Xenopus tropicalis: one gene and its partners. The protein of the gene in region 1 interacts with the protein of each later gene in a biochemical or structural test. Links are inferred from orthologs where the notes say so. Each region holds a gene or a part of one and is shown in the gene's direction. Other genes may lie near its edges.

The links.
Region 2: the proteins of irf4 (region 1) and spi1 are reported together in a solved structure, tested with the Homo sapiens proteins (2 studies listed by BioGRID, with this or other methods). The link is inferred for Xenopus tropicalis from reciprocal best matches to the Homo sapiens genes IRF4 and SPI1.
Region 3: the proteins of irf4 (region 1) and stat6 form a complex in vitro, tested with the Homo sapiens proteins (2 studies listed by BioGRID). The link is inferred for Xenopus tropicalis from reciprocal best matches to the Homo sapiens genes IRF4 and STAT6.

Annotation. Positions count from the first base shown.
Region 1 is NC_030682.2:87,214,778-87,220,437, reverse strand, and holds the start of irf4 (interferon regulatory factor 4), read left to right. Parts: upstream 1-2,260; 5' UTR 2,261-2,358; coding exon 2,359-2,559; intron 2,560-5,660. UniProt on the Homo sapiens protein: Transcriptional activator. Binds to the interferon-stimulated response element (ISRE) of the MHC class I promoter. Binds the immunoglobulin lambda light chain enhancer, together with PU.1.
Region 2 is NC_030680.2:15,891,511-15,897,245, reverse strand, and holds the start of spi1 (transcription factor PU.1), read left to right. Parts: upstream 1-1,938; 5' UTR 1,939-2,081; coding exon 2,082-2,114; intron 2,115-5,735. UniProt on the Homo sapiens protein: Pioneer transcription factor, which controls hematopoietic cell fate by decompacting stem cell heterochromatin and allowing other transcription factors to enter otherwise inaccessible genomic sites.
Region 3 is NC_030678.2:139,265,860-139,270,804, reverse strand, and holds part of stat6 (signal transducer and activator of transcription 6), read left to right. Parts: intron 1-1,071; coding exon 1,072-1,272; intron 1,273-1,523; coding exon 1,524-1,618; intron 1,619-1,927; coding exon 1,928-2,064; intron 2,065-2,816; coding exon 2,817-2,963; intron 2,964-4,840; coding exon 4,841-4,904; intron 4,905-4,945. UniProt on the Homo sapiens protein: Carries out a dual function: signal transduction and activation of transcription. Involved in IL4/interleukin-4- and IL3/interleukin-3-mediated signaling.

The DNA of each region.
Region 1 (5,660 bases):
CAGGATATGCATGTTTATAGGCTCACCTGGTTATTCCATAGTTCCTCAGATGTAGCTCATGTAACACACTTATTCCCTGTTTACCAGGCCTGGGCAGGGATTTAAAATAGGCCCTGGCATTTCAAGTACACTGAGGCCCAAACAGCCCAATAAACAGTGACTGTCTATGGCATCTTACAGCTGCCCCACTGGCATTTGCCAGAATCTACACATTGCCAGTCCAGGCCTGCTGTTCACCCAACAACCATGCTTAACAATGGTTTAATTAAAGGAGAAGGAAAGGCTAATAAAGAGTTAATATCAAGCTGCAGGCATACCTTCAGTTCTCTCAATAGTGCCCTTAAGTCTCCCCATATTTCTCCTGTTCAGATGATCAGAAGCCTCATAGGAAAAAAAAACCGCTGAGCTCTGTAAAAAAAGTTCCCATAATGCCTCACTCCTGCACCAAGACCAAGACTGGTGTACATGCTCAGTTTGTAAGACTATGAGGAAGCTTCCTGCTGATTGGCTCAGATCCACATTCCTAAGGGGGGGGAGTTCTTAGCATTCTTGAGGGAGGGGGGAGCAGGAGAGAGGAGAGAGCTGCGTGTCAATGGCACATTAAAACAAACAGACAAGGAATCCTGTTTCTTTTGAAAGAGAACTCAGTGCAGCATTTCTGTGAGTGCTTATGGCTGTATTTACATAGACCTTTCTGATAAAGCTTACTTAGTTTTTACCTTTCCTTCTCCTTTAAATGTTGCTGGGCTGCAACTTTATTTGTATACCCCAATATATATATATTGTGGATAAGGAATGCTGATAGCTGTAATTCAGCAATATTAGGTATGCATGCTCAAGATAACATGGCTCAATAACACTTACTCCCTGGGGTCAGTTTAATGAATGCAAGGGAATCTCTAGTCCTGACAGCTCTCTGTTTTTTTGACCACAACTGAAAGCATGAAAAGCACATACCCAAATAACACTATGTCCTTCTGGTGTTTGACAACAAATTTGTAATACTGACAGGCCAAAATAAAGTTTCCATGTGATAAACAGTGAGATTTTGTCATTGAATTACATCTGGCTCTATGGGAAAATAAAAATCTGCATTGAATAAGGAAAGGTTTTTGTCATCTAATTGACTGGCTGGGACTTTCAAGGTCTAGGGGTGCAGTGGGTGAGTTTTAGAAAGGTCATTTATTCTTATAAACTTTAACTGAGAAGACTCTCAGTGCAGGATACTAATATTGTAATGTATTTCAATAAATGTATTCCCTTATTATGCAAAACATGAACTTAATAGCAATAGATAAAAGCTTGATAAATTATCTGCTTTGTTAATTTATGAGAATTTGGTACAAACCAAAGTAAATTCCCCTACAGCTAATAATATACCTTAAGGCTCACATGACTGTTAGTCACATGTTAGATCACACAGAACACATCGCAGTTATTTGCATGATTAGGCAGTTTTGGGATTGAAAATTGGTCATCAGGCCCTCTACTATTATAATGTGGTGTTCATTTTGGTATAGGCGTTTTTATTCTGAACAATATCAAGAATATGTTGATCTTATGTTAGTGTACATATTCTGTGAACCTTACCACATACCCCCATATGTAATAAAAGGCACAAAATGTGCCCACGTGCAGTAACCCATAACAGTGGTGTGCTCACTGGCTGTTGCTCTAGAATTCTTGAAAAAATGCTGCATTGTGGGTAAAAACATGGCGATTTGCTCTGATATTTTACACTTTGAATTTTGCAGTACTTTAGTCATGGAGATTTTAGATGCTTTTTTCCATTGTTCTTGCCTTGCTGCTTTTTATGCAGGTACAAGGTTATAACATTTGCTCCAGTCCAGTAGCTCAAAGCAACTGATAAAAACTTAGCTGTAGGTATACGTGGCTTATGTCACATGTGTCTGCACCAGGAGCTGCTGTTTTGGACCAGGTACAGGCACAGAGAATGGATTTCAAAACACTCTGAAATGTGTGAGTAAGCATTTTGGGCCAAAATCTGCTCCATGTAGCTGCACCCGGGCTGATGCAATGGTTCCAGTGCAGACACAAAAGAGCACTGATTAAAGCACAGGAGGAAATTCTTGACCTTCATTTATTTGTCTGATAATCCGCATGTGTGGCATAAGCCTTAATGATCTAATGCAGGGAAAGTAAGCATCTGATTGGCTGTATGTCAGTTTTGCCCATGTTAGTACACCATTAATGCTTCAATTGGCAAATAATGATTTTGTGGATAAGTATGCTTCTATTTGCTGATCATACAATAAAGAAAGCATATTTTTTCCTTGTTTCCTTTTTTTGTTTTTCTTTATTGTTCCTAGCGCTGAAACAAAGGTCATTTGGCACGGTATGCACCAAGACGGAGACTGTGGAATGACACCACTTAGTTGTGGAAACGGAAAGCTAAGGCAGTGGTTGATTGACCAAATTGACAGTGGAAAATACCCTGGATTGGTGTGGGAAAATGAGGAAAGAAGTATTTTTCGTATTCCTTGGAAACATGCAGGAAAACAGGATTATAACCGAGAAGAGGACGCTGCTCTCTTTAAGGTAATATAATTTGTGTACAACTTTCGCTATACTCCAAGTGCTATATCAGCTTTCATTATCTTCTGTAGGCTAAATATGGATGTAATGCAATTATTACAGTACACACAAAGATAGTTCCCAAAATTACCTTTACAGGCCATATATAGACAACACACACATCTCTATGCTAGACTAGTTAGCAGACATTAAAGCCGTAAATAAAGCAGTCATATATATATATATATAGCGGGAGTGCTGGTATTTCTTGAACTAAGTACTGTTAAACTACAACTTGGCACCCAGGTCATGAACTTTTTTGGTACATGCCCTCTAAAATATGCCATAATTAAACATATGTATTGAGTAATAGTCCCAGCAGAATTGGAGTTTTAAATAAATTATTTACATGAATGGCCACTACATCTCTACACTCTCATATTACCCCATATACCAGGGGTCCCCATCCTCTCTTACTCATGAGCTACAGTCAAATGTAAAAAGACTTGGAGAGTAACAAAAGCATCATAAAAGTTCATGGAGGTGCCAAATAAGGGCTAAGATTGGTTATTAGGTAGCCTCTATGCACACTATCAGCTTACAGGAGGCTTTATTCAACCACAATTTGCCACTAAGTCAGAAATTTCAAAATAACTTCCTGCTTTGGGGGCACTGAGAGCAACATTCAAGGGGTTGGGGAGCAACATGTTGCTCACGAGCCACTGGTTGGGGATATACAATACAATATACAATACTGCCATATACAATACTGCGTCAAACTGTTGGCATTTTCATATCCAATATTTTTTGTCTCAATGGGTGTACGAAGAACAACTGAGAAATGAAGGAAATGCTTACATGAGGATCTAGTTGGGCAACTTTAATTATGGAGAGATATAAAAGTAACTGGGTAGCTCCTAAGCTCTAACTTTTTTAGATTTGCAGGACACTAATGGTGATTTCTGAACGTAAAGCAAAATGTCAATGCTAACAAAGCATTGACACAATTCCTGGTATAACAATTTGTTAAAGCTTAACTTAACCAACTAATACAACCAAAGAAGCTTTTTTTAATTTCTTTGTGAACTATTCTCAACCAAATATTATTGGAAGTATTATCAGCTAAATGAAGAAACAAGAGCAGTTATCCCTGACCAGTAACCCAGTAAAACATTTGTGTTAGGGGTGTTACCCTAGCTCGATAGCTATATGAATATCTTTCTTCTGCTCTTTGGGCACTAGGCCTTCTTCTATACTCCTTTTACCTTTCTTTCCTTCTTTCTTACTTATCTTTCCAGAAATAATTCAGCTCTTTCCCATTTATTTTCTGCTCCACCTCTTTCCTTACCTTTTGTAATGCTTGTTCTTCTCTGGTTTTTCTTTTTTGAGTTATCTTCTCCATTTCTATATTTTTTTCCTCAGTTCCCCATCTGCCACCCTGTCTATTATTTCTTTTATTGTCCACTCTTTGTTCTATTTTTTAACCTTTAACATAGTAAGTTGGGTTGAAAAAAGACATATGTCCATCAAGTTCAACCATAATGCCTATATATAACCTACCTAACTACTAGTTGATCCAGAGGAAGGCAAAAAACTCCATCTGAAGCCTCTCTAATTTGCCGCAGAGGGGAAAAAATTCCTTCCTGACTCCAAGATGGCAATCGGACCAGTCCCTGGATCAACTAGTTCTAAGAGCTATCTCCCATACCCCTGTATTCCCTCACTTGCTAAGAATCCATCCAGCCCCTTCTTAAAGCTATATAATGTATCAGCCAGCACGACTGATTCGGGGAGGGAATTCCACAACTTCACAGCTCTCACTGTAAAAAATTCTTTCCAAATATTTAAATGGAACCTCCCTTCTTCTAAACGAAGTGGGTGCCCTCGTGTCCGTTGGAAGGACCTACTGGTAAATAAAACATTAGAGAGGTTATTATATGATCCCTTTATATATTTATACATAGTTATCATGTCACCTCTTAAGCGCCTCTTCTCCAGTGTAAACAGACCCAACTTGGCCAGTCTTTCTTCATAACTGAGACTTTCCATACCCTTAACCAGCTTAGTTGCCCTTCTCTGGACCCTCTCTAACTCAATAATGTCCCGTTTGAGCACTGGAGACCAAAACTGAACAGCATATTCTAGATGGGGCCTTACCAGTGCTCTGTAAAGGGGAAGAATAACCCCCTCCTCCCGTGAATCTAAGCCCCTTTTAATACAGCTCAAAACCTTGTTTGCAAGTTTATTATCTACAAGGACTCCAAGGTCCTTCTCCATTATGGATTTGCCTAGTGCAGTCCCATTAAGGTTATACGGGGCTTGCATATTTTTACATCCCAGGTGCATGACCTTACATTTATCCACATTAAATCTCATCTGCCACTTAGCTGCCCAGATTGCCAGTTGGTCAAGATCCTGCTGCAGGGATGCCACATCCTGGATAGAATTGACTGGTCTGCAGAGTTTTGTGTCATCTGCAAACACTGATACATTACTCATAATACCCTCCCCTAAGTCATTTATGAACAAATTAAACAAAAGTGGACCCAGTACAGAACCCTGAGGGACCCCACTGAGGACCTTATTCCAAGTAGAGAATGTACCATTAACAACCACCCTCTGTACCCGATCCTGTAGCCAGTTTTCTATCCATGTGCAAACGACTTCACTAAGACCAATAGACCTTAGCTTAGAAAGCAGTCGTTTGTGGGGAACGGTATCAAATGCTTTGGCAAAATCCAAATAGATTATATCTACTGCATCCCCACTGTCCAGCTTCTTACTTACCTCATCATAAAAAGCAATTAAATTGGTCTGACATGACCTGTCCTTCATAAAGCCATGCTGATTACTGCTCATAACGGCATTCTCCACTACATAATTTTGAATGTGATCCCTTAACAAGCCTTCAAATAACTTGCCCACCACGGATGTCAAACTTACAGGCCTATAATTGCCAGGCTGAGATCTTACTCCCTTTTTAAATATGGGAATGACATTCGCCTTCTTCCAATCCCTAGGTACCATACCTGATGAAAGAGAGTCTGAGAATATCAGAAACAAGGGCCACTGCAATTCTGCCCCTAGCTCTCTCAGTACCCGAGGGTGTATTCCATCTGGCCCAG
Region 2 (5,735 bases), on another chromosome or scaffold:
CCAAACAGACTCCGCTGAATCGTAATAGGAATAGTAAAGGCTACACTAAAGCTTTATATTACACTAAAGCTTTATATTACACTAAAGCTCCCATGCACTCATCACACAGATAAATCATTCTTACTGTTCCCTGGCCCAGTTGGAGGCAGCGACTGTTTATGCCAGAAATGCCCCCTACGTTCGAATCCCACATGCCAAAGCTGCCTGTAAATAACAAGGTCCAACAAAAAAAGGGGTATATCCCCCTGGCTCTGCACCCACAAGGGCGGCCACGACCGTGGTAGGGCCACATATTCCCCTGCATGTCTCTGGAAAACTCACCCCAGTCATGGGAAATTTTAGTGACTCCCCTAGAACATGGGCTATTGTCACCCCGAGTGCCGACTGCGGGATGTGTCACATTCTTGCTGGAAGTGGCAGTTTTCTGCCCCAAAACTATGGCCATATAAACATTTATAGGAAGAGGAAAGTAAAGGGGAAATGATTACTAAGAATGATGCCTGCTTCTATCTGGTGGCAATAGCCAACCAGGGGCAGGTGCAGTTGAATCCTTATGGGCCGGTATGAAGCCAGTATGGTGTAGGGACAGGTCCAGTCCCACTGTGCTTGTTATCATTAGGTATGTGGGGGCGGTATTTGGGTGTGTGGGTGGCACATCTCAGGAGAGGGGTAGGGCGACTCCTGCATGGGACCAAAGTAGTGTTAAATTGCATTTGATCAAGTTTTTAAGTTTTTCACCTATGTTATAGAATGGCCTATTCTTAGCAACTTTCCAGTTGGTCTTTATTTTTTGTATTATTTGAATTATTTGCCTTCATTTTCTGCCTCCTTTCAGCTTTCAAAAGGGGGTCACTGACCCCAGAATGCTCTGCAAGGCTACAAGGGGAGATTTGTGATATAGAAGGGGTGGGGTGATGATGAAAGAGGGGGAACTATCTCTCAAACAGGATCAGGGAAAGAGAAAGGGTAAGTTTTAGGTGGATTCTGGGTGGTTTGGGGCTTTAGGGGAGGGGCCAGAGGCTGAACTGTATGAATTGGAAAGCAGGGCTGTTGATTTCTATAACATGGTGTATGCTGTTTGGCCAGGGTCAGACTAGGCACTTGCAGCGGCCCCCCTTCCCGACCACTCCTGCCCTGACGCATTAATTTTATACGCTCAGGGGAGGACGTCGGGTGGGCCCTTCACCCCCCAGTCCGACCCTGTGTTTGTCTGATTGAAAATGTAACCCCCCCAAATATTAAAGGGGATATCAACTCTCAATGAATGTGTTGCCTAGTTAAAAAAAGTATGACTTTCTATAGTGATAATATTTACAAATAACTCTTAATCCATTGAACATTAGTAACGTGGATTGGAGAGTTGCTTAGAATTAGCATTTTCTTTCATTCGTCAAAATATTATTTTTGGGTTTGTGACCCCTTTATGGTATATAGTCTGAGGGTATGTAACCCCCAGTATAATAAAGGGGATATAAACCCACAATGGATGTTTTGCCTAATCAAAGTATGACTTTCTATAGCAACGACATTTACAAATAACTTTAAATCCATTGAACATTGGTAACATGTATATTGGAAAGTGGCTTAGAATTAGCATTTTCTTTCATTAGTCAAAACGTTATTTATTTGGGTTTGTATATTTGGGTTTGTATCCCCTTTAATGTATATAGTCTGCTTGTATATATAAAAGAGGGTCAGGTTGCTGCCCCAGATCTCTATTATGAACATAGGCAGTGTATCCATGACTATCACTTAGTAATTAGACTGTAAGCTCCCCTGCACGAATCCCTTCCTGACACACAGGGATGCATATATTGCTGTACAGGGGCCAGTTAGGAGAAGTAATGGCACAGAGAAGTTACTACTTTCCGTAGCAATATAAGGGAAGTCAACTCACTTCCCCCTTTAAATTTAAAAGCAGCCTTTTCTTTGTGTCCCCAGTATGTAGCTGGGGAGCGGGTCTGGGTCCTAGGGTTCTTCTTCAGCTCTCGGGGGGCTTCTCATACAACAGGACCCAGGACTGGAAGTGCCTTCTACAGAGAGCGGCTAATGGCTGTGATTTGATTGGTGGAGAGAACAGAATGAACTGCAAATGGAGCACGGTGCCCTTTAAGGTAGGCTGAGCTTATTGGTGTTTGAAAATCTTCAACAGTATCTCTATCACAGGGGCAGCAGCGAGGGTGCAAGGGAAAGTGAATGTAGCCAACTGGAGGGCTAGGCCACGAAATTGGTTCATCTGTATTTCTTGTATTGTTTATAGGGTTTAATAAAATTAAGTTAAAGATCAATACAGCTGTTATATGTGGTGGCCCCTTAGGGCCATGCAGGGTTCTGCACCAATCTCAGTGTTATATAATTCTATTATACCAACATTGTGCCAAACCAGAGCGCCAGGTTGTACATTGATCCATTCCATTGACCCTGGCAACCGAAAAAAAACCTGACCATTACTGTTGTACTTATTTGTTGGGTTCATCTTTCTAATTAGGACCCCCCCCCCCGTTCAAATTCCATCCTGATTTCCAAAATGATACTGGGTTGCTAGGGTAATTAAAAAATTAAGACTGATTGTAGATTGTTTTCAAATACTACTGTCTATGCCAGGGGTCCCCAACCATTTTTACCTGTGAGCCATAGTTAAATATAAAAAAGTTAGAAACACAAACGTGATCCTAGCGGGTGCCCAATAAGGGCTGTGATTGGTTATCGGTAGACCCTTGTGGATTTCAGGAGGCTCTGTTTGCAGTACACATGGTCTTTATGCTTCCAAAACTTGCCTCCAAGCCAGAAATTCAAAAATGGGCACCAACTTTGAGGCCACTGAGAGCAACTTCAAAGGGGGTGAAGAAACAACATGTTGCTTACGAACCACTGGTTGGGGACCACTGGTATACAACATACTAAGAGTTTATTTCAAGGTGAGCTACTCCATTACAGAGATTCACCATACGTCTTAATGTGCTCCTACTTGAGCTTTATGAATAAGGTGCAATTAATGGTAACATACTAAGTACAAGTTGTGTGAATGTGCCAGTCAGCTACAACTTTGTGCGATCCATAATGAAGAGCTAAGATGCTGTGCAAGCCAGAGCTAGGTGCTACAAAGGGAGTCATATATAGTCTGTCAAATGCCCAGTGTGCTAGAACAGGGATCCCCAAACTTTTTTACCCATGGGCCACATTCAAAGGTAAAAAGAGTTGGGGAGCAATGCAAGCATAAATAAGTTCATGGAGGTGCCAAACAAGGGTTATTGGGTATTTGATAGACCCTCTATGGACTGGCAGGCTAAAGGAGGTTGTGTTTGTCAGTTTTTATGCAACCGAAGTGTGCCTCCAAGCAAGGAAATCAAAAATAAGGACCTGATTTGAGGCCACTGGGAGCAACATTCAAGGGGTTGGTGAGCAACATGTGAGCTACTGGTTGGGGATCACTGTGCTAGAATGTATGGTGATTTGGACTTTGCACCAGGCACCCCTCTCATGGTCAGATTGGCCTACACGAGTACTTGGTGGTCTCGAACCAAGGTCAAGCCAATTCCCATCAGCCCTTTCCTTTTTCCACCATAGGTCTATATGACTTCTTTTTCATTAGGCACTGTCTACACCTAATTGTTGTGAGCCCTCAATGTCAGGTACTTTGTTGGGCCCAGTCCAACACTGTCCTCCTTAAATGAGCCTTTAAGTCCTGGTGCCGTGCGTGATGGCTGGCTAATTTCTACATTCAGATGATTTCAAAATGTGGTCAATTGTGTGGAAGGGCCACTGAGGCTTTCTCAATTCCTCATAGAGAGGTTTTTCCTAATTTACTCAATAATCCGCAAAGCCGCTACTCATAACATTTTACATTGTTTTATTACCCACATGAAGCTTGAAACTTTGTGTGGTTCCAGTTCAGCTACGTTCAGTGCTGGTATCTTTTCATGCTGCCCATTTTTTGCCACACCTGCTGGAGTGCTGCCCCATGCATGTTTCTCTATATGCCTTATGGTAGAAACTATACTTGTCAGACATAGATCTTGTATTTTTAGTCCATTTGAAAAGATCCTGCCTCTTGACCATGTGAGAAGAACTGACCATCTGTTGGGTTCACATTCAAAGTGAGGTTGATTTCATAACAGTTGCAAAACATGAAACATTCTTGGAAAATAAACTAGCACAGCACCTTTGGTAGGCATCTGGGATACCAGTTGGTCATGGACTTTGACTAAATTGGCAGCCTATAGACCTATATCCTTATATTTCCTCTTAGAAATAGGGCAGGGGTGGCACCATTTAACATTTTACGGATAACCAATTCAGTCCCTGGGCTTCTATATCTAACGCAAGTTCCATCATCCATGTTATTTTATGGTCTGTACTTGTGGCAATGAGCCTTTAGTTCCAGTTGGTTGGAAGCTTCTAAGTCTTGTGATCCCCCTTTTCCTCTCAGGGACAACCAAGAGGATATTGTCGATCACAAGAACCCATGTGGCATAAAGCCTATAGGCAGGTGTTTATGGGAGTACAAATTGTACTGGGCAGAGTTATGAAGCCAAATGCTTATTAGAGTAATATTAAACTGGAAAATTTAGGTCAGAGGAGGGGGCAATGCTTCTTTGTGGACCAACATTCATTTAGGATCTACTTAACCTATAAAAAAGTAAAGAAATATGTGTTCACACCATATATTATCTTAATAGTGCTTCTAGGAGAGGCAGTAAACATTAGTCCTGAATGGCACTCCAATTAGCCCTCAGAATGGCAATTTCAGATTGGGAAGGGCATTTAGTCAAGCGCAGGCCATAAACCTAAAAACGGAAGGGCAGCCAGTGAAATGTTCATAGAAACTGGGTTGGAAAAGCAAAAAGAAAATATTGACATTCATCAATTATTATTTTCCTGAGACAAATTAGAGAAAATAACCATATGACAGCATTTATGTTCCAATAGTTTGACCAACAGAACAAGCCTCACAGTTGCTTTGTTATTGCTGGAAGTTTGAAAGTAAGCTGGTTACTTTATAAGAAACATTGGAAACATGGGAAAAATATTTACAAGAAGTGGGACTCTCCCTGGAAATTAGATTGCAGTCACCCATGTTCCCCTTCATGTTGAGAAAGGTTTTAGGTTGAACTGGGGAAACCTCAGTCTTCTCAAGTTGGTGTTTTTTCATGTCTGGTTTGCCCGTGAGTAAGAGTAGAATACACTTTAGACACCTCATATCAGTGGTACCAAAACTGGAAGTTTGGCTTCTCTGGGGGTGTGGAGCAGTGGCCCAAGCTGGGTGGGAATTGGGCCAGAAGATGCAAGCTGGGGGGGAGGTTTGCTCTGTTATGTTATGCCACTGTTTGGGGCAAAAACTTATAATCTGCCCTAGATATTCTTGGAACTATGACTGAAAGACTGATACACCAATGTTTTTCTGTATCTTGGGCCAAAGGTTGAGCCTCCAAGGGCGGCTTAAACTGAAAGAGTCCAACAACCACTGCCCTACATTAGAAGATGGGTCTTTCTCAGTGTGGTGCAGCTGTACTCAAAAAGGGCTGTTTTCCTAAACAGAAAATATATTTTCTTCAGATAGATTGGGCAGTAGTGCTGCAGAAGAGTTCATTATAGGAAATGAGCTGATAAGAGCTTACAATATGGGATACAGTAGCAGTGGTGTAACAATCCAATCGAATCCAATCTGCTTCCTCCATTTTTCATGTAGATCCCTGCTTTATGCTGGCTCTCAGGTGATTACAGGAGGGGGCTGT
Region 3 (4,945 bases), on another chromosome or scaffold:
TGTTTCTACCACATGTTCACAAACCACACCAACCATCCTAAAACAAAAGGAATCTGTTGTCTATTCTAAAGCTGGCCATACACGTGGCGATCTCACGATGTTTCGTACGACCGTCGGTCGCACGAAACATCGTCAGATCCGCCACACACCATTCAGGGCTGAATCGGCAGGTAAGGAGGTAGAAACAATAGGATTTCTACCTCCTTCTGCCGATTCAGCTCTGAAGGGAGAATTTTGGTCAGGCGCCTTCTATGGCGCCCGATCAACATTTTCTAACTTGGCCGATCGGCGAGCCGACCGATTTCAGCAGCTTCCTGCGATATCGGTCGGCTCGCTGACATGCCATACACGCACCGATTATCGTACGAAACGAGGTTTCGTACGATAATATCGGTGCGTGTATGGCCACCTTAACAGTCTTGCCACTGACACCTATGTTACTGTTTGATATAACAATAATCATAGAAATGCACAATTGTGCAATCCTAAGAATTTGTACTTAAGTGAAAGGACTAAGTTTATGACCATGGAATGGTTTAATAATTGCATATTTTAATTGTAACCCTTTATTACAAAAGATCTGTTGCACAGAAGAAAGAGCTATTAGTTTACTTTAGGGATTCACCAAATCTGGATTCAGCCAAGATTCGGCCTTTTCAGCATGATTCAAATTCAGCATGATCCGAATCCATGCCTCTGGCCAAACAGAATCCAAATGATTAAAATCACGTCACATAAACACAGAGGTTGAAAATTAATTTTTTATAACACGCTTTGTGTGTGATTGCCTTCCTTATCCTATGCAAATTAGGGTTCTAATTTAGTTCAGTATTCGGCCGAATACTTCCCAAAGGATTCTGGGTTTGGCCAGACCCTAAAATAGTGGATTCGGTGTATCCCTAGTTTACTTATTAGTTCATCAACTATGAATGATTCTATGGAGCTAACCTGTACTAAAACAATTCAACTGTGGCAATAGATTTTTTTCTGATCTCTGCTAATGAGCATCTCTCCAAGCTTTTAGAAGGCAAGTAGTCTGCTATTGTAAATGTTTATGTCTTTATGTCTTAGGAACGTCGCCCCTTCTTTGTTGAGGAAAAAGTGCCGTGGCCCAAGATGTGCCATACTTTAAATATGAAATTTGTGTCTGAAGTGGGTACAAAGCAAGAGCTGCAAGAAGAACACTTTGTTTTTCTTGCCCAAAAGATCTTCAATGACAACAGCTTAAGTGACAACAAAGACCGCATGGTTTCATGGACTCAGTTCAATAAGGTAAGGAGACCTTGATGAGCCATGTGTTATTCTAGTATGTGAGAGTACCATCGTGCTTGCTTAGTAATGGATCCTGACAGTTATTTCAGTTCTTTTAGCAATATACTCCACTAAGCAATATTGCATGTGAGGTTCAAGTAGAGTGTTTATTCCTCATTAAATTGTTGGGGTTTGTACATACAACCAATCATTTTTTTTTAGTATACTTGACTTTTAGAAGATTTTTCATCCTTTTTTTTACTTTTTTAAAGGAGCCTCTTCGGGAAAGGAACTTTACATTTTGGCAGTGGTTTGATGGTGTTGTGGATCTCACCAAAAAGTGTTTAAAAGATTACTGGTCTGACAGGTGAGATAAATGTGAAAAGTATATCTTATGTTTGCTACCCTAGGGGCCATGCATTGGCTGTAAGGCTAGGGTCTCAGAATCATAATTAAAGTATTTATCCCTTGTTCCTTTTGTCCCATATTTCACACTTACTAGTACTGCATAAATAGTCTTTTTCCTCACATTTCTTAACACATCCCCAATCTTTGGGCTGCTGTAAGTGTAGCAGCTCTCTGTGTTTCTTCCTGAAAGTCAGTGTATGAATAAAGAGATGACAAAATCCGAGCTACCGTAGCATGCTATTCTATGTGACTCTTTTTTATGCTTCAGGTTAATTATGGGCTTTATCAGCAAGCAGTATGTTCACAATATACTAAGTACTCAGCCTGATGGAACCTTCCTCCTGCGTTTCAGTGACTCAGAGATTGGTGGCATCACCATAGCACATATTTTAAAGAGAGAGGATGGTGAGTTTTCCTGAAAACAAAGAATGTTACAGTTCCGCATATACAATATTACAAACCAAAACATCCCCAAGTGTAATTTTTGTGTCATCTTTAATGGCTATTTAATTGTTCCTAGACAAAAAAATAATTTTGGATTGTAAGCACTTACCTGATACCCTGAAGCAGTGCTCCTGTTAGCAGAAACCTGCACCAGCCCAGGGTAATTCTGGAGGAGAACCCCGGTGCGATCCTCCTCTTGCTTTATCTTTCTTTGTGTGGGTCCCTATGCGCAGTAGAGTAAAAAGCTGAACTTTAAGAAAAAAGTCGACTTCTTCATTCTACTGCATGTTCTCCTGCCCGCACCCCAAGGAAAGAAGATCCCCCACTGGGGATCAGCTTCTACAGAATTACTCCAGACTGGTGCAGTCTTCTGCTAACAAAAGAACCAGCCTGGGGTATCAGGTTAGTGATTACAATCACTGGGGGTGCCTAACATTTGGCAACCCCCAGTGATTATTCCTTTTCTCTCTCCTTTAAAATAAATCTTCCTTTATTGGATTACTGTGTTCAACTGCAAAATCCACTTCCGCTCTTTTTGAAGGATTCATTTATCCCAATTCCTTCACACCCTGGATGGGTTACTCAATCAATCCCCAAACAGTGCATTATTAAGGGGTCAAATTTTACCGAGTACTACATGCCTATAAAGTGTACACACTGCTAGTATTTTATGCAGTTCTTTACATCACTATATTTATTTTGCTGTTTTTAAGGTTCTGCTCAGATCCAGAATATCCAGCCATTCACTGCTAAAGATCTGAATATCCTTTCTCTTGGTGACCGTGTCAGAGATCTAAAACAGCTAAAATATTTGTACAGTAATAAACCCAAAGATGATGTCTTTGGAAGACACTACTCAAGTATGTAATCCTTTATAGTGTTTCTTGTTAGTGAGTGTATTGTTAGTAGGATAAACCTATTACTTGTTGCATTCTTTTCATGCTTAGCATTGACCTGGTGCATTTGTGTTTAATGCTGCTTTTCCTCCAAGATTATGATAATTATGGGGGAAAAAAAGGGACAAAACTTGCTCAAAGATAATAACTAGCAACTAACAAAATATTTACTAATTACAGTAGAAACACAAAGTGCAGACTGGTTGCTAGGGATTGCTGTGCCCCTCTTATAATATATCCCCTAAATATATTTCTCTTACAGTATAATACTGTTAAGATTTTTTTTTTAATGTTAGCAATAGTTCCCATAATTTATTACAAGTAGGTAGAGAATGTATTTATCCTCTTGTCTAATGTAACAAAACCTCTTTAAATGGCAGTGGCATTAAACTGTAGCTGTTTGTTGCTGAGGTGGGAATGGCATGTGGGATGTTGCAGTTCAGCAGAGTCTAAAGCTTACTCTAATGATTAATGCAAGATTATGGACAACCTGATATTATTGTGCTGACACTGATGATTACAGAGAAATAAAACATCCTAAGCCATCCAACATTCCATCATAAACAATGCCTCCCTTCCGTCTACTAAAAAATACAAAGGAGGTTTTGGGAGCACAAGAATAATGGAAGTGCAATTGCCCTGGTCAAAATTGCCTCAGAGAAAAATCAGTGCTCATCCCCTGCCCTAACTAGTAGTTTTATCTGTGCTAGTGAATACATTTTCATAAACAGGAAGGTTTGGTTACACAAAACACAGAAAGAAATTGCCAGCGCTCGGTCTAGCCCACGCTGTAGCATTGACGTTAGGAAGGTTTAGTTAGAATAACTAGGTGATTATAAGCCACAATACTGCCCATTGTAAACCCCATATGGTGGCCTTAACTATCTACTTGTGGCCATGTTTTTCATTAGCTGGCACCTCCAAGCTTTGTTGGATAATCTGCCAAAGTCTCTCACAGGCAGATGCTCTCCTGTTGTAGTTGTTGTGTTGTAATGAAGATGAGAGATCTTTAAGACCAAAGCCCGATTTTATAGACACAAGACCAACAGGTTCATAGTGCAAGAGGAGTTTGGTCTGTCTTCCATCTCTTTCTTCTCCTGTGGGAATAAATCAAGCATGTCGGTGAAGCTGCTGTCAGGTTACTGTTACAGCAGACTGCATTGTGAATTGCCTTCAGCTGAAAGAGAATCCAGTCCTTCGATTCACTACAGCTATGGCCAGCACTGCTACATTTCCAGATCCACTAAATTGCTATTGCTTCTTCATATTGCTGTCTGAACCAGCCTGTTCAGAGGATAAGTTCCATGTAAGCATAAGGACACATGGAAGCGATAAAGATCTTTGTGTGGAACAGTGTAATATATATGGTGATGGTGTGTGGTGAGTTTGTACAGGTAAGGGATCTGTTATCTGGAAACTTGTTATCCAGATAGCTCCAAATTACAGGAAGGCCAGCTCCCAAAGACTCCATTTTAATAAAGTAATTCAAATTTTTGAAAATGATTTCCTTTTTCCCTGTAAAAATAAAACAGTAGCTTCTACTTGATCCCAGTTAAGACACAATTTATCCTTATTGGAGGCAAAACAATCCTACTGGGTTTATTAAGTGTTCAAATGACCTTTTAATAGACTTGGCATGGAGATACAAATTACAGACATTATCTGGAAAACCCCAGGTCCTGAGCATTCTGGATAACAGGTCCCATACCTGTATTTGTGGTATTTTAGTACATTCACAACTACGGCTCTCTACACAGTGTGCTAAGCAAATCATTTACTTTGCAGTTTAGATCTGTTTTACAAATTTCAACTTTGCTGCATTAACCTCCTTATTTACTTAGAAAAAACATCAAAAACGCCAGATGGATACACCCCAACACTGATAACATTAAAGGTTGCTGGCGGGTAGGTATTCACTGATGTCTGAATATATGTATCAGATTTGA